4 linked regions of the Drosophila melanogaster genome follow. The protein of the gene in region 1 interacts with the protein of each later gene in a pairwise test. Each region holds a gene or a part of one and is shown in the gene's direction. Other genes may lie near its edges. The genes, in order: AP-1mu, CG8507, Ravus and CG13965.

What was found.
Region 2: the proteins of AP-1mu (region 1) and CG8507 interact in a two-hybrid assay, tested with the Drosophila melanogaster proteins (one large-scale study listed by BioGRID).
Region 3: the proteins of AP-1mu (region 1) and Ravus interact in a two-hybrid assay, tested with the Drosophila melanogaster proteins (one large-scale study listed by BioGRID).
Region 4: the proteins of AP-1mu (region 1) and CG13965 interact in a two-hybrid assay, tested with the Drosophila melanogaster proteins (one large-scale study listed by BioGRID).

What each region holds. Positions count from the first base shown.
Region 1 is NT_033777.3:9,553,328-9,561,130, reverse strand, and holds AP-1mu (adaptor protein complex 1, mu subunit), read left to right. Parts: upstream 1-1,605; 5' UTR 1,606-1,881; coding exon 1,882-2,703; intron 2,704-2,762; coding exon 2,763-3,221; 3' UTR 3,222-3,419; downstream 3,420-7,803. Other genes in the region: MBD-like (Methyl-CpG binding domain protein-like), read right to left, coding at 1-208, 518-859, 1,100-1,290; BckdhA (branched chain keto acid dehydrogenase E1 subunit alpha), read right to left, coding at 3,695-4,244, 4,361-4,526, 4,593-5,127, 5,188-5,256; CG9386 (uncharacterized protein), read left to right, coding at 5,742-6,006, 6,068-7,368; RnpS1 (RNA-binding protein S1), read right to left, coding at 7,480-7,803.
Region 2 is NT_033777.3:9,787,893-9,795,763, forward strand, and holds CG8507 (uncharacterized protein), read left to right. Parts: upstream 1-3,590; 5' UTR 3,591-3,677; coding exon 3,678-3,899; intron 3,900-3,953; coding exon 3,954-4,169; intron 4,170-4,231; coding exon 4,232-4,442; intron 4,443-4,503; coding exon 4,504-4,865; intron 4,866-4,920; coding exon 4,921-5,049; 3' UTR 5,050-5,206; downstream 5,207-7,871. Other genes in the region: CG12945 (uncharacterized protein), read right to left, coding at 1,538-1,989, 2,062-2,192, 2,246-2,373, 2,428-2,568, 2,634-2,879, 2,947-3,198; CG8516 (uncharacterized protein), read left to right, coding at 5,560-5,702, 5,889-6,029, 6,098-6,228, 6,294-6,722, 6,777-6,917, 7,053-7,627, 7,684-7,871.
Region 3 is NT_033777.3:13,260,655-13,268,191, reverse strand, and holds Ravus (ravus), read left to right. Parts: upstream 1-4,130; 5' UTR 4,131-4,193; coding exon 4,194-4,225; intron 4,226-4,285; coding exon 4,286-5,333; 3' UTR 5,334-5,459; downstream 5,460-7,537. Other genes in the region: Su(var)3-7 (suppressor of variegation 3-7), read right to left, coding at 1-359, 427-1,404, 1,460-1,804, 1,873-2,457, 2,892-3,676; CG11686 (uncharacterized protein), read right to left, coding at 6,071-6,154, 6,422-6,550.
Region 4 is NT_033779.5:19,959,659-19,966,537, reverse strand, and holds CG13965 (uncharacterized protein), read left to right. Parts: upstream 1-4,185; 5' UTR 4,186-4,239; coding exon 4,240-4,263; intron 4,264-4,323; coding exon 4,324-4,701; 3' UTR 4,702-4,780; downstream 4,781-6,879. Other genes in the region: OS9 (Olfactory-specific 9), read left to right, coding at 62-118, 178-720; CG10680 (uncharacterized protein), read right to left, coding at 1,257-1,475, 1,528-1,698, 1,763-1,894, 1,957-2,112, 2,173-2,199, 2,257-2,307; CG16772 (uncharacterized protein), read right to left, coding at 2,807-3,712, 3,784-3,813; CG42866 (uncharacterized protein), read left to right, coding at 4,876-4,899, 4,959-5,099; CG34051 (uncharacterized protein), read left to right, coding at 5,512-5,684, 5,757-5,879, 5,945-6,133, 6,188-6,374; COX4 (cytochrome c oxidase subunit 4), read right to left, coding at 6,651-6,787, 6,847-6,879.

The sequences.
Region 1 (7,803 bases):
CTCGCCACTGTCGTGGCAGGCGCGTAGTCGTTCCAGTCGCTTCTCCCAGAACAGCTGTTTCGGCTTCTCCCGAGTGCCATGCTTGGGTTCATTCTTCGCTTTGGCGGGATCCTGTTTATGGTTGCGAATCACCGTCACCGGTTGCTTGAAGATCGAGGCAGTCTGTCGAATGGGAGGCACCAGGGAGACATCAGTGCGCAGGGCTCGGCTGTAAGGGATTAAAGATTGGAAATGTATTAGAGAAACGCCTTCAAAAAGCTAAAACACCGAACAGCACATTAGACAAAGCGTAAAGTAAAGCTTTAGCATGCAGAGATGGTGGAACATAAATCTCAGGTGGCACAGAGCTACAGCGTTTTTGAAGACAACTACGAATTGTTTTGCCAATTGTGTGTTTCTTTGGGTATTTTTTCATTTGATGCTTTTTAATTGCCGCAGGCTGTAGACCTTGCGTCCTGGCAAACAAGACATGACACGCTGACATGCAAGAGTCAAGTGCTCATCCACTTGGCTCTACCTGAGTTCGATCTGTTGCTGCTGGCGATTGGCCGTTGATGGTGAAGCAGATGCTGCTGTCGCTGTTGCTGCTGACGAGGCGGTCGCTGCCGGAGGAGCAGCTCCTGCTGCTCCTGCAGCATTGCCTCCTTGACTCCGGGCGAACTTGCGCTTGAGGGCATTGGCCGCCGATCCGCTGGTGGCCCCATTACCGCCCCCGCTTGCTATAGGCAGCGGCATGGCGCTGCAGCGGTACAGCGAAATGGAGGGCGAGGGCAGGGCGCAGTGCGGCATTTTGCCAGGCTGGAAATCAGGGATTGCAATGTCCTGTGGCTTTCCCTCCGCCCTTTTTCCTGTGGGACTGCTGAACAGACACGGCGGTGGATGGATATTTTTGGTGGGTTAGGTGGTAGTTCGTGTGCGTGTGTATACATAGGCGTATGCGTGTGTGTGGTGTATATGGTGTGTGTGTGTGTGGTTATGCGGATGTAATAACAGAAAGGTAGTGAAAGTGATTATAAACGTTTATCCGATTAAACAGCGTGCAGTGTTCCGATTTTAGGTATATAGTAGTCTATATAGTAATTCTGCTCTTCTTCTTTACCTGTAGTAGAAAACATCCACCTTGTTATTGTTGTTGTTGCTGCTGGCTGTGGCACTGCTGTTGTTGTTGCTGCTGGCGTTGTTATTGGCGCTGCTGCCGGACTTTCGGACCTCGTCGCGCTGCCATCCCTTTGGCAGGACACTGCAGTCGACGCGTTTGCGCTCGATTGTGACGCTCGGGTTCATTTGCATGCTCGCCGAAATAAATAATTAACAATTCCACAAAAGCAGCGTCTGGGCTAGCAGTGTGGCCGTACTGCGGATGGCCACAAATGCCGGATGGCACAATAGTGATGCTAGATTACATTCTCCAATATATTTATGATTTGAATTTAAAGGTACCAATGGGAAAATGAAAATAATTTAAAAGGTATTTATTTAAAAACAGAAACCTTAAGATGTTACACCTTGCACATTTTTCATTTCCTTTAAGCTTAATTCGCTAGTTAATCAGCAGTAGACCAATCTCACCTGGCCACACTGCCCAACACCTGATGTGAACATTTCACAGCACTGGTGGGCCAACTAATAAGAAAAAGAAGCAGCAGAAAAGGCGACGTAAGAAATTCCGGAGTTTTCATTCGCATTTTCCAGTCTACGAAACGGAATATGTAAATCCAGCCCATTGATAGACCTAGCCCACTCATCGCCACCTCGCGACAGTTGCCAACTTCCACGCGCAACGCCTGCCGCGAGCAGTAGAACCATCGAAGCGACCTCCCACTCGATCCAATTGGGAATTTTACACCTGGGACAAGTGGCAGCTGCTGGGAACCAAGAGACATGTCTTCGTCGGCCATTTTCGTTCTGGACGTGAAGGGCAAGGTGCTGATATCGCGGAACTACCGCGGTGACAACATCGACATGGCCGTGATCGACAAATTCATGCCATTGCTGATGGAGCGCGAGGAGGAGGGCCTAATCACTCCGATCCTTCAGACGGCGGAGACTACATTTGCCTACATCAAAACGAACAATCTTTATATCGTATCCACGACGCCGCGCAATAAGAACGTTAATATCGCTCTGGTCTTCGTCTTTCTGCACAAGATCGCGCAGGTCTTTGTGGAATACTTCAAGGAGCTGGAGGAGGAGTCCATTCGGGACAATTTCGTGATCATCTACGAGCTGCTGGATGAATTGCTCGACTTTGGCTACCCGCAGACCACCGACTCGAAAATTCTACAGGAATACATTACGCAGGAGGGTCATAAGCTGGAGCTACAGCCCCGCATCCCGGTGGCCGTGACCAATGCAGTATCCTGGCGGTCCGAGGGCATTAAGTATCGCAAGAACGAGGTGTTCCTGGACGTTATCGAGTCGGTGAATCTTCTCGCAAACGCCAATGGCAATGTGCTGCGCAGCGAGATCGTGGGCGCCATTAAGATGCGCGTCTACTTGTCGGGAATGCCAGAGCTGCGACTGGGTCTCAACGACAAGGTTCTGTTCGAGAGCACGGGCCGCGGCAAGTCAAAGTCCGTAGAGCTGGAGGACGTCAAGTTCCACCAGTGCGTGCGGTTGTCACGCTTCGAGAATGACCGGACAATCTCGTTCATTCCTCCGGACGGCGAGTTCGAACTGATGTCCTATCGTCTGAACACGCATGTGAGTATTTTTATGTACTTAGCACCAAAATGCAAGACTAACTAAACCCCTGTTGACAGGTCAAACCCCTGATTTGGATCGAATCAGTGATCGAGCGGCATGCCCACTCCCGTGTGGAGTACATGATTAAGGCGAAGTCTCAGTTCAAGCGAAGATCGACGGCCAACAACGTGGAAATCGTCATACCAGTGCCCGCCGACGCGGACTCACCCAAGTTCAAGACCACCATTGGAAGCTGCAAGTACGCACCGGAGCAGAACGCAATCATCTGGACGATCAAATCGTTCCCGGGTGGCAAGGAGTATCTAATGCGGGCACATTTCGGTCTGCCGAGCGTGGAAAGCGAGGACAATACGGAGGGCAAGCCGCCAATTCAGGTGCGCTTCGAGATTCCCTACTTTACCACGTCGGGCATCCAGGTGCGCTATCTGAAGATCATCGAGAAGAGCGGCTATCAGGCGCTGCCATGGGTGCGGTACATCACGCAGAACGGCGACTATCAGCTACGCACCAATTGAAAGGGGCAACTCCCGTTCCTGCATCATTCCAGCCAAGCTTCAGCGAGTCATCCTGCAACAGGTAGCTTCATCTCCACCCGCGTTTTTGTCTGCGATGCGTTGCGTTAAGTCAAAAGTATATATTTGTATTCGTATTGTTTCAGTATATGTATATTGTATGTAAATCAAATTTAATAAATTTTAACACCTTTTCATAACACCTGCACCAGAGTGGGTCACTTTGTATGTGCAAATTAAGACCTAGGATGCAACCAAGTTTATCCTCTTCGTTGGTCAGAGAAAACCCAAAAACCCAAAGTGTCTAATTTCACATATCCACCGACCCACCTGTACAGATGAGTCATAACAAACGGGTTGAACCCACAAAAAACTGTTTGCCTATTGCTTAATCATAATAAATGCACTTTCGATCGAGTCTCTCGGTTCGTTTTGATTTCTGATTTGTTAGCATCTTTATGGCACCTATCTGGAATCTATTTCTCAAAGTCCTTCAAGGGATAGTGCTCCTTGTGGGCCTCGATATGTTTTTCCAGCTCGCTACGCTGCTCAATCAAATGATCCGGCATCTCCGCGTAGACGCCTTCGAACATCTCACGCCAGTTGGGCTTGAGTTTCTTCTCGGACACTGCGATCTGCTTCAAAACCTTTTTCCTTATGTCCTTGACATATTCGTTTTCGACAGTCTCGTCAAACCAGCCTTTGTGCACCATGTAGCGCTTAAGCTTGGATATTGGGTGCTCCACCGAGTTCCAAATCTCGATCTCCTCCGCTGGTCGGTAGGCTGTACTATCATCTGAGGTGGAATGGTGACCCACTCGATAGGCCAGTGCCTCGAACACCACCGGCTTGTTCTCCTTGAGGACATACTCCCTGGCAGCCTTCATCGCATTATAGACGGCGAAGACGTCTGTGCCATCCACTCGAATGGTAGTAATTCCATAGCCCATAGGTCCGCGACCGGCGATTCCATCGCCCTTGTACTGTTCATGCGATGGTGTGGATATGGCAAAGCCGTTGTTTCGACTGTGGAGAAAGGTACGTCATGAAGAAACTTATTTGAATGGTATTTTTGATAAGATAAGAAATACATCCAAAATAGGTTATCTTATCAAAATAATATGTATCTTAAAGTTACTCACCAGAAGAGGATAGCCGGACAACCCAAAGTGGCAGCAAAGTTAAAGGCAGCATGTGCATCTCCCTCGGAAGCAGCTCCCTCACCAAAGTAACAGACCACACAGGCATCGTTGTTTGGCCTCAATTTCATGGCGTAGGCGGCACCAACGGCCTGGGGCATTTGGGTGGCTGCCATACAACAGAGAAACTGGATAAGCATTCTCTCATCAAATAAATAAGACTATATTAACTCACAAAGCGGACTGGAGATGGTGACAAAGTTAAGTTCCCTTGAGCCGTAGTGGACGGGCATCTGCTTGCCGCGACCCAAGTCGTCCGTGTTGCCGTAGCACTGATCGATAAACTGGTCGATACGGAAGCCACGCCAAACCAGAACACCCGCTTCACGATACTGCCCGTAGATGAGATCCCGCATCTCCAAGGCGGCGGCACTGCCAATGTGTGAAGCCTCCTCGCCGAAATTGGTCATGTAGAATGAGATTCTGCCCTGTCGCTGGGATTCGTACAGGATTTTGTCCATGGTGTTCAGCAGCACCATATCGCGAAACATTTTCTCCACAACCTCACGGCCCAGCTGGGGATCCTGGGTCTCATCCGCTATATAGCCATCCTGGTCCATCACCCGGTAAATTGGTATTGGCGCATAGTCTTCCGGTTGAATGAGGTTCAATTTGCTGACAAATGGAGCCTTGGCACCGGGGAAATTGGCGTAATCTTCCGATGGCTTTGAGCTGAAGTCCCGCGCAGCTGTCGAGATCGCTCCTTCAATCTGTCATGGGTAAAACCAAACAAATAACAACATACCCCTCTGATCACTCCAAGTACTGACCACTTTCAGGTGTCGTTGGCGCCTCGCCACAGAACCCAATAGGTGCACCGATTTTCGCAGGAATGACATGGTATATAATTTGTGTCTAATCTATTAAATGCAACAGGTAATTTTGAAGATTCAGCTGCGTGTTTCCCAGCTGATTACGCAACACAATACCATATCGATAAGTCTCAATCAATCGATGTTTAAGTGATTGGCTATCGAGATCTCCAAAAAAAATTTCTAATGGATTTTATTAAATTATTATTATTTTCATTTCCATTTTAATTGATTTATCCCGATGTTGAGGCTACATTTTCATATTGAAGGTTATACTACTGTATGTATTTACAATATAGTTTTCTTTATCTGATACATTTTTCTCATTAATAACTTAAAATAAACCCCAAGAATTAATATCCGTTTAATAATAACGATGGCTAACGCAGGATAATATGTTAGCAAGGGTTCGTTTTAAATACGCGCCAAACAAATATCGATAGACGCAGCTACCCATCGTGCGTATACTTAATATTTTCGTTTTCCTTGAGCCACCTTTCGCTTTCGACACCATGGCAGCAGTAGAAGAAGCACAATTCTGGCAAGCGATTGGAATACTGATCAAAAACTATCATGCTTTGAATAAAAAGATATTCGAGGTAGTCATTACCCAAGTGACAAAGCAGCAGAATGGGCGAGTGTGTGAATCCAGTGCGGAGGAGTTGGCGATGTCTCTAAAAGAGGATCCAAGCCAGCGCACGTGCACAGGATTTACGATCGGATTCAAACTGCTGTCCAAGAAACTGGCGGAAAACATCCTAGGCACCGGAATTGTGGGTGAGGATAATCACAATATTACTTACTTCTTAGACAATTCTTATTATATTCCTAATTACAGATTTTGAGAATTGTCTCTATGAGTGCCAATTTGCCAGCGATAGCATTGAAGGCTTTTCCGTGGGCCTCCTTGGAGGAGAGTTTAAACTGAAGTCCAAATCGAACACCAACTGGTTGGAATTTGTGCTCAGACCAAAGCTCTTAAGCTGGTCTCAGTCCAAGCAGGATGAAGCAAAGGTGAAGTCACTAGGTTTGGTTAATGTGGAAAAGTACAATGATCTGTACAAGGAGTTGAAACAGAGGCATTCACAACGCCTGCTGGAACACTGGAAGACCGCACAGGAGTCCACGGATCCGCTCAAGTTCATTTACGAGGATTTGGCTATCGCTGCTTATCTTATAGTTTTGTGGAGTCAAACACAATCGGAGCCCACTGCCTTCGCTGATTTGGGTTGTGGAAACGGTCTGTTAGTTCATGTCCTCAACGCCGAGGGCTACAAAGGGTATGGCTACGATATAAGAAAGCGAAAGCTATGGTCCCTCTATCCACCGGATACCCAAAGGAGCCTCATTGAAAAGGCCGTGGAGCCCAACAGCTTCCGCTTGGATTTTCCGGGTGTGGATTGGTTGATTGGTAACCATTCGGACGAGTTGTCTCCTTGGCTACCGGTTTTGGCTGGTCGTTTGAACATTAACTATTTCCTACTGCCCTGCTGTCCCTTTGAACTGTCGGGAGCCAAGTTTCGCAGGCGGAATACGAAGATAAGTGCCTACCAGGATTTCTTTCAATACGTCACTCAGGTCTCTCATGAATGTGGCTATGAGATCCTACAAGACCGTCTAAAAATACCAAGCACCAAGCGATTGGCTCTGCTGGGAATTAAGAGAAAAGCCTCAAAGGCTATTGAAGATCTGGAGTACTTTGTCCAAGAAGAGCTAAGAAAGTATAAGACCGGAGATGCCAAAATTAAGCTGCGCGAGAAGGAGGAGAGCGTTCGAAATTGCACGCAGGTGGATAAGACCATAATTGATGGTCTAGTGTTTAAGATCTTCAAACTGATTCTGGACTCTAACGAAGATAAATGGTCTGGTCGTCTGCCCATGAGAGAGATTGCCCAGGCTCTCACCAAGGAGGAGCTGAGTGGCATTAAATCCGAGTGCGGCGGCATCAAAACATTGCTGCGCAATAAACACGAAGTTTTCGAATTCTGCGGTGGTGATCTCATAGGAATAAGAACCCCTAAACCAACGGCTACTCTCCCCAAATCCCATTTGACCATCAAGAAACGTAGCTGCTTTTTCAAGCTTCATCATCCGCTGGGATGTCCTCTCGATGATGCTGAGTGCTCGTTTATACACTAAGCTAACTCTCTATGTGTGTGGTATTTGCTCACCTTTATTATTTGGATTATAATATAAAGAAAAGTGCAATAATCGTGTCAATTGTAGAAACTAGGAGTCGATCAGTGTCCTCTAACGAGAGCTGTCACTGCTATTGCTGCGGCGTCGACGACGAATGGGGGAGCGGGAGCGACGCCGTGGTGAACGCCGGTTCCTCATGGGTGACTGACGACGTCCGCCGCCGCCGCCACCACCTCCTCCACGATTGTTGAACCTATTGAACTGGGGTGGGGATCGCCAGCGGTTGTTTTGCGGACGGCGCATCGGTGGCGAAGGACGACGCATGGGCGGCCTCTGTTTTACTAAGACAACCGGGGATACCGTAATCTCCTGGCCATCTATCTGCCCGCCATCCATATGCTTCATGGCCGACTCACAATCCTCGGGTGTGGCATA
Region 2 (7,871 bases), 230 kb from region 1:
TAGCCAGATCGATCAGTCAGAGAGTTAGCCTAAGTCAGAATCACGTTTAAGTACAATTGCATTCGCATTCATCGTGTGAGCCAAGTAACGCGTACATCGAAGGATATTTGAAGAGCATATGGTGCACTTTTTGCAGTAGCGTAGATGGGATATAAGTTGCCTGTTTTTAAAACACCTACCTATCTATCTATATGTATGTATGGATGGATGTATCGTACGTACGTATAACATAACACAGACCGTTCCCAATTGTGGTATTCGTTATTTAAATAGTTAGTTGGCTTGTGCGTAGAGTCGTAGGCGTAGGAGTTGAACAAATTGTTTCGCATAGTTTGCTGTTGTTTGATATTAAGAGGATAAGTTTTTTTAAATTTTACCAATCGGACTAAGTGAATGATATGCTTTAAACGCTGCTATACCAATTAGCCAAATAGAGGGGCATGTAATTACATTAATTATGATGTTGCTCATCAAACTGGTAACTTTGGCTGCTGGTCCGCCGTCCAGCAGTGCCGGACAAATAAAAGTAGAACAGCCGCCAACACAAATCAGATGGGGGGACATTACCCACTAGATCTTAACAAAAACAAAATAAATTGTTGAATTCGAGTAGAGAAATTATTAATCAAGATTATGATAGCGGACCAATTTGCGTATAAGATTTGTGAAATCAATTTAGATAAATTATCTTGGTTTGCCATAGACCTGGACGATTACGACGATATGCCAGCCTTAGTTGAGAATTCTAGTTAGCCTGCCTGTGCTTTGGGTTCTGCTTGGTGTTTTACTAGGTTTAGGTACGTTTAATTGTGAACAGCAAACTGGGTTTTGACTATTCAGTATGTGCCGTATATTGGATAACATTCTCTGCATACAGTACACTTCACTAATGCGTAAAGTTACTTAGTTGCATACGAATTATAATAACAATGAATTGTAATCAAAACATAATACATTTTAGGTGCATGATTTAAAATACAACGAATAAATATATTTACACCGAAATTCTTTTCTAATTTTTTCTTACAAGTATATACACACACTATATAGATCTATATACATAGATATATAAATATATTAGTTGTATACATATTAAATTAGATTTTACAAGATTCGAAAACCGAATATTTAATTATCGCTTACATTCAATTAATACGCAACTCACAAATGAGCGCCCACTGCTAATAATATTATTATTAATAATCGCCTGAGCGCCAAGTTGTAAATATAAATGATCAACAAGTTACATATAAAAATTATATCCGATTTTTTGAAGGGCCGGCATCATAATAATAACAAGCAAAATATAAACAGTTTCGTGGCCTACTTAAAAGATCTTATTGTTGAAGATTTATCTTAATAACACTTATCGCGCAAATGAGATTAAGTACATGCAAAATAATTTAAATAAAAATTTAACTATGACAAATCAAAAAATGAAAAAATTGAATTATTTGCCGACCATAAATGGTCTCTAATAAACTGGGTAAAAATCTCGGACATTACACTTAAATTACAAATTGTTTGTTTGCGGCCGCTACACATTATCAATGTTATTATCCTCGTGATCGTCGACCAGCGTGAATCCTTCATCTTCAGCTACACAGCTTTTGCTCTTGCTTTTGCTGCTGGAATCGCTTTCATCTAAATTTTCTTTTTTCGATGGTGTGGTGGGAGCTTCCTGCTTTTCCTCTAGCTCTTGGACGCCCGAAACGTCTGGAATTCGCTGTAGCGACTCCTTTGGAACATTTCTCACGTTAATTACATTTAGCAGCATCTTTAAGTTGTCGCCCGATATGGAGTCGCCTTCGGGCGCCCGTGCATTAATGGACTGGTGAATCGTTGGTGTCCCTTGTGGCGCTGGCTTGTGTAAAAGTGACGCCCATGCTCGGGGGCTTAAAATGTATTTAAAGCACAGCTTTATGGTGTAACCCACTAAAAACACCAAAAGGACTGGTGCAAGGAGGTTATACGGGAAGGATAATCCGGCTATGGGTAAATATGGTAATTAAGTGGTAAGTGGTAATTATTGACTGTGCGAATTCTTGGTTAAATACTTACAGGACAGTTTAGTCATAGTTACCGACACCTTTTCTATCATGATTTCCAACTGCTTGATAAATATGTTATTCATGTACATAAAGAACACTTGATCTGGCATGCAAATGGAAATGCTGATTTTTGCGGATTTTCTGAATGGAAACGATCATCAATCGACTTATTTAATTATATGTTATGGTCTTACTTGATCATTTCTATCTTCTTAGTTTTTGGTGAGGCTTGGTATATGTAGCCTAACAGTCGACCAAACCAGGACGATTCAGGCTCATGGTGATGATTTACGACCTCTATCATCCTATCGATGTCTAATTCCTAATTATAAACATATAATGAGCACAATTTCACACACTTTCAGGCTAGACCTACTCTGTTGCATTCTAAATAAGTCTGAATATATCCGCACAGAAACACGCCTCCTAGTACAATTGAAATTAGTCCGACACGGAAACGTTTGTGCACAATGACGACAAGTGCAATTGCTAATGTTGCATATAGGATAAATTTCACCTAGGAATGAGAAAACCCATTAAATAGCAAATAGTCAAGTTTCCATAAAAAGGCGCAACAGGTACCTCGGTCGTTTGCGTCAGTTCAATTACATCCTTGAAAATATCCACCAATAAGGAGAAAAAGCCGTGTCGGACGTATGAGCATCCGGATCTTCCATTAAACAAAGGAGCCTCCTCGGCACTCTCCAATATCTTAGTCAGCAAAACGTCCAAATCCCGAGCATCCTGCACCCTCTCCAGTTCATCCAGTTGCGATGGGATCAGGGAGAAGAGCAGCGATCGCTTATGGACCGCCGACATAACATCGTACTAATTACACAAAAGTTACACACATATGACGTCATGTCGCCAACTTTGGTCTAAACAGCGATCATACCTGAAAACGCTTGCGCTGGAACAGCAGATTGACGAACTTCTTGAAGTATGTGAGTGCCACGGCATCCTCCATGGCCACTGGAGACACATCTGGACACGTAGGACACTGGCACAATTCACCGGGCTGATTGATATCGTTAACCAGGTCCGACCAGGCGGGATCCGGACTCAGCCAGGACTCATCGTTGCCGCTCTGACAGCATACCCTGTGCAATACCAACAGGAAACAACTGACCGCTGCCTCCGTTCTCATTGTCCTGGTTTCTCAATGTAATCACTCCTAGGTAGTAAGCACTCGATAATAATTATAATTCAGCGCAATTTCGTGGTAAGGCGGCTGATGCAAATTGGCAGTGTGACCAAGTCCAGTTAGCAACATCACAGCGTCACGTCAGTGCTGCAATATCTACTTATCACTTCAGGAAAATGTAGCTTTATATTTATTAGACAAACATGCTTTTATGATTTTTCTTCACTTCTACTGCAAATTGAATTATTTTTATTAAACATCTTTATCAAATAAATCAAACAAATTGTTGTAAATTGACCAAGATCAAAAATCGTAACTGCGAAAAACAAAGCATTAAAATAAAATAAAAGCTAGACTGTCAGCACCAAAGCTTTATGCGATCGCTAGATGGCCACACTGCGTGTTGTGAATAACTGTTTAGCCAGGTCAGCACTGCACCAATAATTGCAAGCTTTAAAACCGAAATAAAAACCACGAGGAAAATGGTTAGGTCAGCTCTCGTTGTTGCAGCCATCGCACTTTCCGTACTTATTGCACTGCAGGGCGTGGATGCCGACAAAAAGCAGAGCAAGAAGTACAGCAAGGAGGCCAACGACCCGCATTTTCAGCAAGTAAAGCAGGAGAAGTATGATCCGGATTTTAAGAGCATCCAGCGGCCATTTCGCATGGCCAAGTTGAATCTCGTGTGGGCCAAGGCGCAGAATGTAAGTGGACACCATAAGATATCTCATATTTAACCGTACTAACCTCGGTTACAGCGCTTAACAGAGCCCAAGCTCAAGTCACTGTACATGGAACTCAAGATCCACGATAAGGAGGAGATCGCTTGGAAGCAGCTCAACTCGCAGCACAAGGACAAAGACGGGCTGAAGGCCGACGAACTGCGCCGCAAGCTCATTGGCATCATGAGCAGCTACGATCTGCTAGAGCATTTTGACGACACTCAGGATACGGAGAAGCTTAAGCCCTACAAGGTACGTATCTAAATCATCTTTCCTAAGAGCAAGAGTTTCTCTACATCCAAGTTAACTTTAAGAAATTCCACGACGCCGAGGAGCGACACAGAAACAAGAGTCTTTTCAAGGACAAGAAACTCAACCGACTTTGGGAGAAGGCCGAGATTTCCGGATTTACTGCAGAGGAATTGAAATCCTTGAAACAGGAGTTTGACCATCACCAGGATAAAGTGGATGTGTACTACAGCTTGCTGGAAAACATTGGCACCGTAGACACCGACAAGCATGAAAGTGAGTTTGGCTAAAAACAGCACGAAAAGCATCAATTAATTTCATTGATTATTCTCGTTAGATGCTATTAACACGGAAGACTTGGACACCTACAATCTGATTTCGAATGATGTCAATGAGAACGACATCAAAACCCATGCGCAAAACGTGAAGAGTTTCGAGAACGACCTTAACACTCTGCGAGGACATCACACGGGCATCAAGGATCACTACGATAGGCTGGAACGCCTGGTGTCCTCCGGTCCACACAGTCAGGACTTCATTGAACCCAAGGTCCAGGGTCTATGGCGAGTGGCCCAGGCTAGCAATTTTACGGTTAAAGAACTGGAGTCCATTAAAACCGAATTGCATCACTTCGAAAGTCGCCTATTAAAGCTGCGTCACTTGCATGCCGAGCATGCTTTGCAAAAGGAGAAATACAAGGTATATGTTTCTTAATATCAATCAAGTTTGTAAGCCAACTAACAATTATTTATAGGGCGAAAAAGTGAAGGACAAAAGCAGCCGCTTTGAGGAAATGGAGGATCAGCTGAAGAAGCAAACTCGCAAAGTGGAGAAGCTCCAGGAGAACATTGAAAAAACCATCTTCAAGCACACCGAGCTTTAATAATTTGAAAGTGAAACACTGAAAGTGCCAAGCGAATAAATTAGATTTAATTGCAACTGTTTGTGTAACGCACAAAAATATTCATTCTTGCTGCTATTCAGCATAGATATAATTTTGATACCAAATATCATTTGAACATAAATAAAATCTCAAGTTTAATTTTGAACTATATACAATCTATTTTGACCTTTAAAAAATTCAATGTGGAAAAAATAAATTTGTAATATATTCAAAGTACAATATAGGGTTAAGAATAAACCGTTAAAAAAAACGATAAAATTAGTGTGACCATATGATAGCAGGCACAAAACGCGTATTTCCCTCCACCCAGTAGGACCGCACCTAGTATGACCGCATGCCAGTCGCATTATTGTTGTTGTCGTTTCGTTTGGTGGGCCAAAAAACAAGAAAATATTAGCTAAGCGAAAAGTTTAAAAAGTTAATATATATATGTGCAGCGGTCGGTGCCAGCGCTTTATGGGTACATAGTGCATATGTACACACACCGACATGGGCATGGTGGAGGCGTCGACGTCGGAACTGCACCTGGAGGCCCCAAATTCGTACACGTACCTCCTGGCGACCGTCAGCCTGACGCTCACTTTCATCGTTATGCTGGGCGCTTGTCTCTGCTGCAAGAAGCGGATCCCTAAGTAAGTCCTCCCCAATACCCAGAGGATCAGAGGATCCACATCGTTTCGATGGCTCTAGCGGGAACAGGGCGGTGCAGGCCAGAGAGAGAGTGAAAGTGGGTCTCTTTCTCCAACACTACGCCGCCCAGTTCCAGTTGGATGCACTCATGTCGCTCGCCAATCTCTCTATACCCTCTAACTCCACAGAAATGACTTGATGGGCCTGGAGGGCATGGTCAAGCTGAAGAATCCGGATGAGGTCATTGTGGTGACCAATCTGGTGGGCAACAGCGAGTCCCAGGCGGAGCTGAATGCCTCCACGGTGTCCAATGCGGACTCGGAAAAGCGGTAAGTCCCCATTTCTTTGCTGTCTACATAACTGAGCTGGAAATAACGCATCCTTAACCAATTTCCAGGTCGAGCACTGCAGCCCATCGCAGTTTGCCTGACATTCCCGTGGCCGAGAGCAATGATAATGGGTCCGAACTATATGAAACTGTGGCGGACAAGCAAATGGTAGATGGTCGCAATGCCCGTAGCCAAAGTCGTAAGTTGTATTTTAAACCCATAAAATAAGCTCATACTTAATACCGATTTTAATAACACCCACAGCACAGCCAAGCATGAAGAAACAGACCAGCGTGTCGCAGCACAGCTCTATTAGCCAGGCGGATGATGTAAGTTCGCCGTACTCTCGGGTCAAGGGTCTGCCGCACGACTACGCCAAGGTGCGGGGCACCGAACATCCCTATGCCCAGCTGAATGCCCCATCCACGTCTCATGCGGCCAACCACGGCTCTACAGCAGCAGCTGCGGCGGCGGCGGTGGTGGCCGGATCCTCCAGCGAAGGTATAGATCCAATGCACCGCAGTTCACAGCACAGCGAAGGCTCCAGAGAGCACAATGATTCAGCGCCGGCGCAGGCTGAGATTCCAGCTGCCTCTGCGATTGCAGGCATGATTTCGGCTAGCCAAGATCTTCCCTACATGACGCCGCCCATCGCCAATCCACATTTTAGCGGGGACTCACAAGACTCGTCGAGTAAGTCTGTAAAAATGGAGATAATGTCAAATCGCTAAATGTTTTATTCCACAGAGGGATACACAAGCATTAGTGTGAGGGAGCCGCTGGCCAACATTTTGGCCCAACAGCCACCTGGGAAGCCCTCGAACAGGAACCCTACATTATCGCGTGATGTTAATGACTCTCACTACGCCACTGTGTCCGATGATTCTGGTGAGTCACAAGAGAAACACCACTTCTCTCCAGGGCAATTTCAATGTTATACGTATCTTGAGTTTAATAATATACAAAATTTAATACATATATTTAGTAATACATTTAGTTAGTAATTTAATTCTTTTATTTAAGATGAAACGTATGCGGCCATTGAGGATCCCAATAACCGTCATCATGCCAACGCCGCGGATATATACACTAGCGGATCGGAGACGTACGCGCAAATCCAGCCTATGCAGGCCAATCCCATAGTGGTGGCTGTCGAGATCAATAACAGCAGCAGTCTTCCGACCGCCAGTACATCCGCCGTCCGACCCACCAGCAGCAGTGGTGCTGATCATGCTATGCCTGTTCCACCGCCTGTGGACAGTTTGCGAGCCCAAATGCACTCGCGTCAGGCGTCATCCTCATCGAACAATAGCTCGTCTGTCTGCAATTTGGGTTCACCCAAACCTGAGAAACGTCAGGCGAATTCACCACTACCACCGACGCCCAAGGCAATTGTGGGCCAGGCGCACCATCTGCAGGCCGGTAGTATTAGCAACCTAGCGTCTGGGCGGAATTCGGTCATATCAGTGATCGAAGCGGGCGCGGAAGGACACGAGGCGGAATCTGGAGAGGCGTCGCCACAGCGCAAGCATAGCAAAAGTCTAAGTCCCTCCAAGGAAGGCGAGGGCAACAAAAACATTGAGGGCATGTACGCTAAGGTAAGAATGTCTGCCAGTACCACATAGTACCTCTGACTCACCATTAATAACCGTAGGTGATGAAAAAGCACAAATTCTCGAGAAACTCGCCGTCCTCCCAAAACAGCTCACCTATTCTGGCAAGGAAACAGCAGCAAGATGGATTGGGGGTCAGTCCGCTGGACAGTGCTGCGGCTTTGTTGGTGGATGCGCAGAAGGGTCGCGTTCGGAGCAACAGCTATTCAGCCAAGGATCATGGCTATGA
Region 3 (7,537 bases), 3.7 Mb from region 1:
GCATGATTTTCGACTTGCCCTCTGCGGCTAAATCCGGCGGCAGGGACTTCATGGTCGGCGAAATGCTGTCAAAGAAGAGATCCATTACATGTCGTGGCTCCGGTGGCTTAATCGGTGACACTGTCACCGATGGCGGCGCCTGGGCCATAGACTCGTTATGTGCGACCGACTCCCGTTCCAAAGTTCGCAAGCGTGTAACAATATCAAACGACGAGCATATCATGTCCCTGGCCATGTCCATTTGGGAGCGTTCTTCCTGTCGCTTGCCCATTGAGTCGCGAAGGGCGCGTATTATGCGACGAACCTCCATTGAGCGTCGGGACCGCTTCGCCAGCGGTTCCGCTGTGCTGCCATCGGATCTAAGTAGCCATAATGAGTGTGGTTATTAGAAACGCTTAATGAAGGGATTTCGAATTCTAAACTCACCGAACGCTCATATCGTTTTCGCTCTCCTTGTCCATTCCAGACTCCTGCCTTTCCGCATCAACGGTGGAAGTGGGACTAACTGATGGTGCATTGGCGGCAGCGGCGGCATTGGCCCTTTGCCGCTCCTTATTTTCGACGTGCTTACGCGAAGCGTCGTGTTGCCGCAGGTAAAATACCTTGATCGGCAGCCGGCTATCACAAACACGGCAGTGACAGTGATTCTCGTCATTGGCATCAGGATCCAGCCAGTCGTACTTCGCTTGCAGCTCTGCCATAGCCGCTTTCTGTCTAGCCTCGGCGCTGGCCAAAGCCGAAGCTGTGGCCACAACAGTGGATATTTCACCTGAGTTTTTGTTCGATGTTTTCAAAGGGTTGCCACCATTGCGCTTTCGATCAATGCGGAGGCGTATGTGTCGGGAAGTCCTCTGGTGCTTGGAGGCCCACTTGGATGAGGGCAGGTAGAGAGACACTTCGCACAGCTTGCACCAAGCATAGTTTCCACGCTGCTCGTTCTTTTTGTAGGAGAGCCACGGGAAGCGGCCCTTCCACACCATAACCTTGCCCTTCATGGTTGCCGGAATGGGCTTGACAAAAAGCTTATTGTCCGCTCGAGCAGTCTTTCTTGCCTGCACGGTGCCCAAGTCGAAGTTGCTTTGGGAATCTTCTTCTGCGTCCTCCTCTTCTTCTCCATATTCCTCGTCCTGTTCCTGTGATTCTTCATCATCCTGCGCATTATGTTTAGTTTGCGTGTTTGTGCCCTGGTGCAGTTTCGCTTGCCGCATTTTGAACTGCTTTACCAGCTTTACATGCCGGGCACTCAACTCATGCCGCGCCTTTGCCGCTTCGTTGTGAAAGCGCACGCGGCAGAATTTGCAAATCTGAGTCTTTCGGTCCTTGGAGTAGCAAAGCCACGGGTAAAAACGTACCCCAGCGCGAACCGTGGCCTTTCTTGGCTCGCTAGAGGACTTATGAGCAAAACTATACGAAATTATTATTATTAAAGTAAAAATTAAAAATATTTTAAGCAACATACCCTTTTCCGAGTTTTTGGATCTCGGACCAATTGTCATCGTCATTATCTTCGCTGTCATCGGTCTGCGATGACTGGGCTTGATCACTTGCCGCCGCTTCCTCTTCATCCATGTTATCGCCGCCTCTGCCGTCAGCCGAACCAACTTCGATGCCTGCCTTGGCGCTGGCCAAAGCCAAGGTATGCTTCTCGGATTTTTCGTGATTCTTGCGCTTGATCTCTGAGTTTCCATACATGAATCGCTTGCGACAGACGCTGCAGTACCCAATGCTGGGGTCTTCGGGATCAGCAATCAACCAAGGATGCATGTCGGCGAACACGGCCCAAATGCCGCGAATATCTGAAGAGCTGAGGTAAAAAAGTGAAAGCAGTTAAAGAACAGGTGCTATTTACGTTCTGTAGGAGTGTCAACTCACCCCTTTTCAGCGGGTGTCGATAGCATGTGACAATGAGCTCTGGTTTTACAGTGCCGTAGGAAGCTGGTAATCGCCATTGTGCAGTTGCAGAGCGTACATCGGCATTGCTGTGGATTGGTGTCCGGAATCAGTGCACACCACTTGCCAGGGTCGTCGCCTGAGTCCACATCGCCGTTCATCATAACCACAGGGGTGTCCTGAGCATCCTCCGGCCCAACTTCTGGTTCAGATTCCTTCTCTCGCTCGGCCTCATCCCCGCCGCTATTGGTCACGCTGTTGCTCTTGCTCCTCTTTCGCTTCCGACTCCGCTTATCGGAATCTAGGTTGCGCAGTGCCTCCATGTGACCTTTGGTGGTTTCGTGGCGCTTGCGCAAATAGACAAACTCCACGTTCATTCGCACGCTGCAGATGCGACATGTCCCGATGGTCCCTGTGGGCATGGAACGTTCAAGCCAAGGATGCCAACGGAGCCAACGCAGCCAGTTGAAGTTGTTAAATGCCTCGGTCTCGGAGATTCGTTTTTGCTTCATGGCGGCCACATAGCTCTTGGTGCCGAATTCGTGCTTGATTTCGTTGTCGCTGATTCTACGGATAATTGGGAGTTAATAAGTGTTCGCAAACTTTCGGTGATCTCAATATGATTTCGGTATTTCGTTTTTTAAAGGTGCAAATCTTACTAACATTACGAGTAGAGCTACCCTCATTGAAAGCAGGGAGTGTAATATATGTAAAATCTATTCTGAACCGCGACCAAGCCTATCATACACCAGTTTCTTTGTGTCAAACAATTGCTACACGTTGGAAAATTAATGCGGACTCGGAGCAGTGCTCCCTTCATTAAGTTGGCAGTTTTTTTCACACTACAGTGGGCTTTCTGGATTTCGGTACAAACCCTTTACAAAGTGAAAGGCATTTGAAGAGTTGAGCTTTTACTTTATACGGCGGATTAATTAACTTGATTTCTCCGAATTTTAGATTTCTGTACTCTTTTTTGTAATCTTTAAAACTGTGACACTTACGCTCCTCGAGTTTCCTCCTCACTTTTCTTGAATGCCAGATAGTTGCACTCGCGTTCCTGGTGGGAGAGCGACACGTTGTGCTGTTGGATGTGTCTAGAGCGGTTGTTCACGTTAATGGATATGTTGCAGTAAAGGCAGAACGCTAAGGTGCCATCGGAGTCCTCGTGTAGGATCCAGGGCCAACGCTTCATCCAGAGGAGCCAGCGCTGTGCGCGGGGCATCTTGCGGCGCATGCCTCCGTCAACGCCACCGCCATTGCTGCTTTCGTCATCCTCGTCGTCGTCATCCTGGCTGTCTCCCGGATCATGGATTTCAATCCTCTCCAGCAGGCCCATGGGATCGTGGTACGAATGGGAGCTCTCCGCATCGCTGGAGGGTTCAGTTTTAGTGGACATGGCATCGGGTTCACGTTCCTGGTCTTCCAGGAGGGGATCCTCGCTGGCCTGTTTGTCGTCTGGGTTATTTAGAGCGGACTGTAGCTCGGCCACCAATGGAGCATGTTCGTCATCCATGATGTCCTCAATACACGGGTCATCCCGCATCGGGTGCTTGTCCTCCTCCACCACCATGGCCACATCCCCATCGTCATCATCCACCACGATGACCATGGAGGTCTCCACTTCCTCGATGTGATCCGGATCCACCAGAGCACCACCCTCTACGTCCATAATTTTCAGCTCGTGCGTTGCCGACGCTAAAGTTTCTGAATTTGCAGACGCCATTTTGAGGTCTGGGTTGCATTGAGCATCTAGGTTTTTCGCCTGCATGCTCGAATCCCGATCCATCACGAGATACTGGTTATCCAGGCACTTTGCTCTAATATTTGTTAGCTTTTGGGAGATCACAGTATACGGTTATAAACTAAAAAAATAAAAATAATCGCAAGCGAAAACTCAGAATCGCTGTCAAGGCGATGGCCAATGTGACCGTACTGTTGCATTAAACCGGCGGGCTAAGGACCATATACTAAGGAAGTTCAAAAAATACATAAAATGCAACTGAGGGACTGGACTGGTCACTTTATTGAGAACGGTCTTAAAACGTACTGTTCATAGTATAACTGCAATTATTTATTTAATAACTACATGAACATTATGCTTAGAAAGCATATAAAGAAATTACATGCATTAGCATATGATTCATATATCGTTGAATATTTAAAATAAAGTGTGTAGAAACAAACAACCGGTGTGGGTGACAACTCTTACAGCATGTGCAAAACGGGTTATGCGGTATTTCTATGCATGTGCGCACGGTCATACCTCACTGGATTTTGTTTATATTTTGGAAAAGACTACCCAAATGTCAAACCTCCAGTTAACTCAGGAAAAACTGTGAGTATACCAAAGTAAGAGACCAGGGTCTTATGTTCACTGACTATATTCGCCGCCCAGAGATGCCCTACGCTCCGAATACAGGCCACGCCGGCCGTGCGCCCTGCTGAAATATCCTCGACCCAAGACAAAGCCGGAGTACCAGGCGATATATCCGTGGTTGCTCCCGGATGAGACGGATCCGCACTTCGTGTTCTGCGCGGTGTGCGAGTGCAGGCTCAGCTGCAAGAGATCTGATCTGGGAAAGCACGAGGGTAGCATTAAGCACTCGGAAAATGCACAAAGAAAATCATTGCCAGCCAAGGCAAACAATTCGAGCTTCAATGGATCCAGCTCCGGTGCGATGAAGTGGGAGGATACCGAGGACGAGGAGGGTCTACTACAATACGGAACAGATCCCCAAGACGACGAGACAGAAGATGAGGAGGAGGGAGAACTTGACGAAACAGAGGGCGACTGCGAGGACGATGAGAAGCGGACTCAAGAACTGGAAGCACAAAATGATCTCGAAACGGAGCCCGTCATTAAGCAGCAGCGCCGCACTTCGGAGACCGACTCACAGAATTCTGGCATGCTGGATTATCTGCCACTACACGTGACCATCAACGAGGGGCCTCAAAGTCTTCCGACCACTGTCTCCGCCTATCCCACATCCTCAGCAACAGCAACAGTAGCTCCGCCATGCAGGATCACCATTAAAAAAGTTCCAGTGCACAGTACTCCACTCAGTGGGATGTGCCAAGCTCAGGAGATCAATTCCAAGGCCACCATAACGCCTATACACACGACGCCCTCCTATGCTGCCCGCCCGCTGCAATCTTATCAACTGCAACCATTGTCACCTATAACGCCACCGCGCGACTCATTGGAGCTGTTCTTCGACAGCATATGTGCCACCGTCAAGAACTTGCCGCCCAAACTGGCCACCGAGGGTAAGATCCGGGTAATGCAGCTCATTGGGGAGCTCGAGTTGCGTGCTCTTTGCGAACAGGAGGCGCTCTCTGAGGTCGCCGGACTTCCGGATCTCGCGGGAAACTCCAGGTCTGGAGCAGCTGAAGCCTCAGGCAGTGGTCAGCAGAATGCGACAGTGGCTTCTACCACCAAATAAATTCACCTGGACTTTGGAATCGGTTCCAAACCGTGCTCAATACGGCAATTAGAATATATGCTAGTGCTTTCATTTTTTAATTTTGTTAACTGATTTTCATTAATAAAGTTATTTATTAGTTGTTGTAGTGTGGCGTGCATTTATTCTTTAAATCTATCTGATGGTGTTTTTGTTCTATGAAATGGCTTCATTACATTTCATCCGTTTAGAAATTTAAGTGCCCAATAAATGGGCTCATTAAGGTATTAGGTTCGCTTTAATATTTCACTAACTGCATTTCAAAAAGTGTTTTCCTGACCTTGGTTTGCCAGCAAAGTATAAATTGTGAATTTTCTCAGAGAATGATATCACGGAAGAGCTGTAATCAATGGAAACCACTTCTTGTGTGTGGGTAACAATTGTGATTTACTTATTGTGAATGATACAAAGCGAATTCTCTGAAGGGTAAATATTACGCATGTACAATACCATGTGATAAAAAGTTTATCGCATGATAGTTTAATGTATGTTCTGTAGGTAAAGATAGTAAAAATCACTCCATCAGGCGAATTTATCAACTGTAACGAACAAACAACATGTAATATCAGATTGAATCAATCAGAATCAATCAATTGAAAAAATGCCAGTAATTATAAATATAAGTTAATAAATCTTTATTTGTAAAATTGTAAAAAATGATTGAAAACAAGAGTTATCAGTAAGGCACTTAGTTAATTGATATTGGGGAAATATCCCCCTTAAAAAGCTTGCTTGCCCTCTAACATGGCTTTCCCGCAGTAGAACGGGAACTGGACTCCCTGGAGCAGAATGTCCGATATGCCCTGCGAAAGTAAGAAAACAAATCGGTTAGCAATGTTTTTCCAGGCAATGGGTGTGGGTGGGTCTACATATCGGGGCCAGCTATCGCGGTTTCCCATAAGCTCCGGTTGTGGGTCTGATAAGTTCCCCAAATGACTAATGGGTTAAACATCTTGACGGCGCGATAAGGAAAGTGCCTCATGCAACCAGCAGGTGAAGCAGGTAAATTGACTCACCCCGCCATATAACTTCAAATGCTGCTCCCCAAAATAGAAAAAAAACCCACTTACCGTCAGGGCGGGAATGCAGGAGGCAAATGCGTAGACCCAGATGTAGAAAAAGGCGCAGAAGAATGCCACGAAGAAGGAGACGAACCAGAAGACCAGCAGCCAGAAGACGAACCACAGTGGATTTGGCATCGTGATGAGTGGTGTTGTTTGTTCAGAGCGATTTCAGCTGTGCGATAAGATAAATACAAGGGATCTTATTAGTGGAAAGATCCATAAAAAACTGAAGCTTATCAGTCGTCTTCTTAATAGAGCATATCTCATTAAAAACTTCAAGACTTGGAGCTTGCTCGAGCATAAAACTAATTTCTGCATTTCGTATATTTTTAATAAGCAAAACACATGTCATTAATTTGATATGCGCCTTAAAAAAGTGACCTCATAATATTTTTAATGAGCTAACAAATTAAATCTTGCATTTCGATAGAACACGATTCTGATAAACCCCACCTAATTAAAAGAGCTTCTAAAACGTCACTTCTATTTCTAAATCATTTTTTCCATCGCTGTATCAACGTTCCCATTTAAGATAGTGAATGTCAAGTTATTCGAGCAAGTAAATCCTTCAGTAAACCCCATTTGTGTTTGCATACCACACTCATTTATAAATAGTTTTTAGTCATATGCAATTTCAAATTATATATTATATAAGTAGACCTTGAGTTAGGCCTTTGAAGATTACTGAAGTTTGAATTTTAGTTAATATCTTCCTTCACTATAAAATGATTAAATATTCGGCTTTCTCCTAAAAATACTTTTTCACTTTTTAGAAAATATTATTAAAATATGCATACACTCAGGTTTTACCACCGAAAAATGCATTTGAATGGCTTTCTTCTGCATTTAGATTTCACTTTTGGGTCGTGACAAACATACTAACGACCGATTTGGCTCGGTTTTGAGACTGATTTTAGAAACACTGACGTCAAAACTGATTGTGACCAAAATAAGGCAAAAATAAGGCAGAGTATGAGGTCGAGGCCTCGACCGCCGATTTCGAGCCGAATTCCACGATCAAGTGGTGATTATAGTACTCTCAAAACAAGTGTCGTCATTATGCAAATCACAATGCTAGCGAGCACTGCACTTGACGGGGTGTGTCGTCTTAAGTCATCGCCC
Region 4 (6,879 bases), on another chromosome or scaffold:
AATTTAAGAGAGGGAATATAAAAGGAATCAGTTCGATAGAGACTAGATACAGTTTCAAATCATGGCCAGCAGACTAACTTGGACTTTTCTAGTCGCTGTAGCTGCCCTCCAGCTTTCGGTAAGATCCTTAGATTTGCTTATATCCTTTTGGAATCAACAGAAACCTTTAACTTTCAGCTTGCAGCGCCTCTCATTAACAAATGGCAGTTACAATTCGAAGTGTCCAATGAACTCTTTCAAATGGTAACAGACGCCATGGAACAGCTACGACATGTCTTTCAATTGGTCATCGACGAGGCCGAACTCATTTTACCACCAAACTCCAAGGGACACATTCTCAGGGAGCTTAAGGACTTCGTCGCGGCCTTGGACACCCTGGACTTCGATGATTCATTCGAGCTGAACAGACTGGAGGATGCTCTTGAGGAACTGGAAAGCATCATTTCGATTGCAGGCAGCAAAGAATTCGAATCGGAAGCTGACGAGGTTGTCGTTCAGCTATTCATACAGCACGGAGTTGAGGACCTGGAGCAGATCCTGGAAAGAAACTTGGAAACTACTCTGAAAATCGTAGAGCAGAAGGTGGAGAAATACATGAGCACATGGTCCGACAGTCGGTTGGCCAGGAACGCGGCGATGGTCAAGCAGTTTAATGACTTTAAGAACGAAAAGGATGTCTATGAGAAGCTGGACAAGTTAACCAACTCTGATTTCATTTGAATAAACATATCATGTTTCAAGTACATTTAAGTTTAAACCAAATAACTACAGATACATAGTCCGAACGTATATATTATTTCCAGAAACTGCCTTGCAAATATCAAAACCAGTAGTCCAGAGTTCATGTTTTGTATTAGCACGCTCGCCGGAAGCTAAAATTTGATTACATATTGCAGCTGATTTAACAATCAATGAGCATATAATAAATACGCTAGTAAGTGTTTACTACTTAGTGCAGGTATGACGTAAGAAATGTGGAATTCATTTTACAAAGGTATTGAATACCTTAATATACCTTTTTTAGATTTGTAAGCTGTCAGGTTTCAATAGCTTTGAAAGTTTTACTGACTTTCTATTCAATACAATTGTTATTTAGTCTGATAAATAAACCGTGCGGAAAGTAAAATAACTGATTATTTGTAATGCCAAGAATCTTTACATTACACACAGACAAGTCAGTATAATCTCTAGCAGCCTTAACTAGTTGTTTTTGAGAACTCGGAACTTTCATTCATCAGCTTCTCTTAGGAAAGGTGTTAAAAGTTGCGATAAGATGATCCAAATCCATCCCGCGAGTCGAACACATCCCGCTCGATTTGGGGAGGTCCTCTTCCATCCGATGTGTAGCTATAGGATTCGCTCCGGTAAAAGTTGTTAGAAGAGCCCCCGGAACCAAGGGGACCACTTCTACCAGTCGGAATACTGGAACCACCGGCGATAAGGGGGATAATGGAACCACTGGATGGCATAGGTACCTGGAGAAGGTGTATTAGTTTTTTAGTTAGGAAAACGATTGCACAAGATTACCGGTCGAGATACAAAGGTTCCTAAGTTTTGATTGCGGAATGGGGAGTCAGGAATTGGTCGAATGCCTCTGCCACGGAAATCCGGGGAACTGGGAAAAGGTCTGTTGTCGAAGCCGCTGCCTCTGGGACCCACATTGTAATCGGTTTGGAATGCATTGTCATAGTTGGGTTGCTGAAATAGTTCAATCGTCAATCGGATTGTAATACTATGTGTAACTACTTATAAAAACACTTACACGAATGGGGAAACCGTTGGATCGGGGAGGGATCTGAGGATAAAACGGTCGAGGTTGGAAGGGGATAGGTCGGAGTGGAACGTCCTCCTCTTCGTAGGTGTCGGTCACCTCCTCCACTTCACCGCTAGATCTCTTCAAGGATAATAAATATATATTTATTTCCATTTATATTAAGTGTATTGGATGAGACTCACCTCTAGAAACTCGACATCGTTATTTGCTTCGGCCAGGGCAGAGCTGTTTCCGCCATTTAAGGATGATCTATTAGAAATAGGTTTGTTGCTCGATTTCGGACTCACTGGCTTGAAGAGATGCGTGGGAATGTTGATAGTTTCACGAGGCACCCTTAGCTGTGGATTATGGAATATTGCAAAGAAGATACTATCTAAATTGTTTGCTAGCAAACTTACCTTGGGATCCGGCAGAGTGTGGCATATCTGAAAATATAGAACTCATTGAAGCCTAAATTGTGGAACAAACCGATGAATAGTTACCCCCTGAGCGATGAACAGACAGCCCAGCAAAACGAATTGGAGCGGCAACATCTCGCAGATCTCGACTGACACTCACGTCTCGAACTTCCGACGATCGACAGAACTATGAGTTGACTGGGTGGAATGCGCTGCAATTAAATGCAACCACGATCCCAACCCGTTCGACTGGAAATCACCAAGGTGAGAGCGTCGGGGCCCGGGGTTATCAGCCTGGGGATTACACGATAGGGAAATCAGAAGCCCATAACTCAATCTCATATGCGCAAATCATCAATTATCATTTTCCCGAATCTAGGAGCCTTTAACTTACTTACTAGTTCTTAATGCACCGAAAGAAAACTCCAAGCAGTCCCACATTCAGTGAAGAACCTTGTACTCAGATTTACACGATCGAAAGCATTAAATATTATATGCAAATATTAAAAACTCATGAAAATATAATCTAAAAGTTGTTTATTGTGTTAGGAAGTACATTTCAAGATTGAAATAAAACTAAGATATTATTGACTATCTGGACTCGGAGATTTTTCACAGTATTTATCGGAGAGTGTTAGTAGAGTCCGTAGCCGTAGGGCGAACCATATCCGCCTCCTGGACGCGGAAAGCTGGGCACAGAGATCACTGGTCTTCGGGGAATCAAATAGACCTGCGGGTAGCTAAATCCTGGTGGCTTCAGAGCCACATCCTCGTCCTTATCCTTTTCACCAGACTTGTCCTTGGGCTTATCTTCGCCGGAGTCTTCTTCGTGATCGTGATTGTGGTTGTGGGGGTATCCGAAACCGGGACTGGGAGGTCCGTATCCTGGGAAGCTGGGCCAGTTACGAGGCTGAGGGAACACCTGGGGTTGGTAGGGCGAGTACGGTGATCTGAAGGTCGGATAGGAGGGATATCCAGACAGCTCCGGCGATTCCTTGTCCGCATCTTTGGCAGTGGGCGGTGTGGTCGATGGAGGAGTAAGCTTAGGTCCCGCGGCAGAGAATATCACTCCTGGATGGGGGTAGGGATACTGAATGGGGTAGGGATAGGGGTGAGGATGCGGATAAGAATGGGGATGAAAGTGGGGCTCATGCTTATGGGGCTTTGGCGTTGTGGTGGTGGTCGTCGTAGGGGTCGTGGTTTCCGGTTCCGGAGTGGTGGACTCTGGAAGCGCAGATCCATCATTGTTTTGTTGCAAGCCATCATCCAGTTGACCCAGTCCGTCATCGGGAGCAGCGGTGGCCTCACCCTCCTGCTCTATTGCGGGCTTCGTGGTGGTTTCTGGCTTTGGAGTTGTGGTTTCCGGCTCGGGAGTGGTGGTGGTCACCTTCTTGTGGGGATGATGAGGCTGATATTGGGGGGGCAGGTGGGGCTCCGGCAGATGCGTATCATCGGTAGTCTCCTCTTCGCTGTAAAGCGAGGCATCGATTTGCTTTTTAGCCTCGTCGAGCGACAACTGAGCGTAACTCAGCGCCAGCAGCTAGAATTAAAATGTATGTTAAGTTAATCATAGTTCGAGCCATTTTGTCCTGGCCAAGATCTGGCACCAACCTGGCTAATTAGAAGCAACTTGATGAACATCCCAACCGACTGAGTTCAACTAGCAAGGGCCAAGCGAAAACTGATTGTTCTCTGCCGGCCATAGCTGACTTATATAGCTCCAGAATCGCCCACCATTATGGAAATCGGTAAGCCAACAATTACAGACAGCCCCAGAGCAATCAGCTCTCTATCTCTCTCGAAAAACCCGATTGGCATCAGGTGTTGGATGCGTCTGCCGGAATTTCCCGGACTGCGTTCGCAAATTAAAGATCGCCATCTATCAGTTGGTCACTAAGAGAATTAGTTCTGCCCGCAGAACCAGGCAGCGATTCCCGCAATCAATTTAGAACTGCTCCAATCGATTCCACCTGCGCAGCGACTATAAAAGGTGGCTTTGCCCAGTCGGCGCTTCTGGTTTCGACGCAGTATAGGTACACATACTATGTGTCAGGTGTGACGATAGGCATGGCGAAACTTGAACTGAAGCTGGTGAGTGCCAATGGGGCATTCCCTCATTATTGCACATAATCGAACGTTTCTTTGTTCTAGATTGGAATCGCTATATTCTTGGTAGCCGCGCTCGAGGCTCAGGAAACCCCTGCGGCTGAATCATCTCCAGCGTCCCCAACAGATGGCGAAACGTCTCCAGTTACAGAAGCCAGTTCCATCGGAGAATTAACTCAGACCACAGAAGCGGGGTCGGAGGTCACAGAATCACCAACAAATAGCACCGATATGGTTAATAGCACGGACAACCCAGACCCGAACGGCTCGCCTGACCCTGAAAATGGAGGAGATCCATTTGTGAAGCCAGGAAGCCATATAAAGGGACCTCGACACGTTAGAGCACATGATGGCTTCCACAGCCTGAAGACGGAGAAGCATTGGGCAAGCTGGAACGATGCCTTTACCACGCCACGTCCCTAGCTCATATGTATATCCCATTATACCCTTTCGTTTTGTGACCAATCTCTGAAGATTATTGAATAAAAAACTAAATAATTTTAATATATTCCGTCGAAATTCGGGAACACCCTATGTGGTTTTACCAAGAACTTCACAGATGACGAATTGAATTAGTCGCCAGTCTATTGTTTCCCAATGCGGTTGATTTTTTTCTGCTTGGTAAGTAGAGATAAAGAAATAGTAACATTTTTATCGTATATATTATATTTTCACATCAGTGCCTCTTTTTGTCCCTGGAGCTAGTAGTGCCCAGACATGTCGTGGGCCACGATGGATACCACAACATCGAGAAGGAAAAGCGCTGGAAAAACTGGCCAGCACGTGTGAGGCACCACCATAAACAACGTAACTCCATCTGATGTCCGACAAGGTTGGGATTGCACGCGATTACTTATGGCCCGTTGCAAAGTCGTTCACAGGGCCATAATGCCTCGGATCTCGCCAGACAATGGGAAGCGGAAGCCTTGTTCATCATATCAATGGATCACTGCTTAATTGAACATTTCCACTGTTCGAATGTGTAAATAATAAATTGAATCGCATTAATTGTTGCTATCCAAGCGATATACATTTCAAATGAGGAGAAATGGATTTTATAAATATAAATTGACCCTTTCTTTAGAATGAGTAACCCCCTTTTAAAAATATGTTGTTTTTTTTTCTATTTTGAGATAAGTGACTAATGGGAAATCGATTGGTTCCATAATACATCTCAGCCCACTTAATTGTGATTTAACGTATAAGTAATTTGTCACTCCACAAACTACAGCCATGGGACCAAGGCTCTATCCCGCTGCGATCCTCATCCTCCATTGCCTGCTGTTGCTCTTCCTCCAGGTGGACAGCAGAGGTAACCAGAACCACACCCAGATGGAAAGACAGCGTCATCTCCGAGCACACAATCTGCACAGGCCTCCATACGATGGATACGATTGGCACAAACAGTAAGATACAGATTCGATCGAGCTGAAGGATATATACACTTTCGAATGGCACCAACCTTTCGCTTTCAATAGCTTTAACCGAGATGCCGAACCAAAGGCGACAGTTGCAAAGGAGAAAGAAGAGAAGACTTTCAAACACAGATCAGGACATTTAAAAAAGATGAAGCAGACAGCTAGGGATATTTCGAACTGGAGGTAGGTGCATCATCTGCATCAAGTATGAATGCTCTGAGATCAAGGAATGCCTGACTTCTTTTCAGCAGAGCTCGGAGCGCCTACCAAAAAGAGACGGCAGAGCTGGAGGAATGGGGTCGAAAGAAGAATATAACTGACAACGAACTGAAGTTATTCTTTGACGGTGAAATTTCTACCAAAGACAAGTACAGATTATTTGGGGACATTCAAACGGTTGTCCAGATCCTGAAAGAGGTGATAAAAAAGGGAGCTGTGTAAGTAGTGTTCGCCTATATGTCTGGCAATGCCTTTGAAATCCGCCTTTTTAGGACCGAAAAAGAGAAAGCAATGATAACGCCGGAACTGAAACCATTGATCTTAAGATTCGGCCGCATGTTTGAAAGGGAATTTGCCAAGAACACAAATGCCTTGGAAGCCTTGCAGATCCTTGTTCATGAGGTTCAAAAATCGAACAGCCGGAACATGAGACATAAGAGTGCTAAAAGGTCTCACTAAGTGGTAATTAAATTGGCTATGCCTGTGGCGATTTTAGTAACGAAAAGTTTGTAATCTACACACTAAAAGGTCTGTTAATAAATCGAATAACAATCATTGCTCTTAAAACGGATCATTGAGGCTGGTTTCCTAGCAGAAACTGATGACTGACCCAAGATCGATTGATTTAGGCAGCAGCCATAACTTTAATTTCGACTATCTTGCTTTTACTTAATACACATAGACGTCGGCTAACTTAATCACACACAATCGCGGAATTATTTAACGACAGCGCACTTAGTTCTTCCACTTCTTGTTCTCGTAGTCCCACTTGGAGGTCAATCCGGTGACGGGGTTGATTTCCAGGTCGATGATGCGCTGCAGCTGCGCCTTCTGGTGCTCCTCATCGAAGGTAACGGGCAGCTCATCGTACACTGAAAGGAAAATGCTCAATAATGGATAGCCGCAAAAGGGAACCGGAAAAATGGCTTACCGAAGATGTTCATCAGTACGGCCACCCAGATGG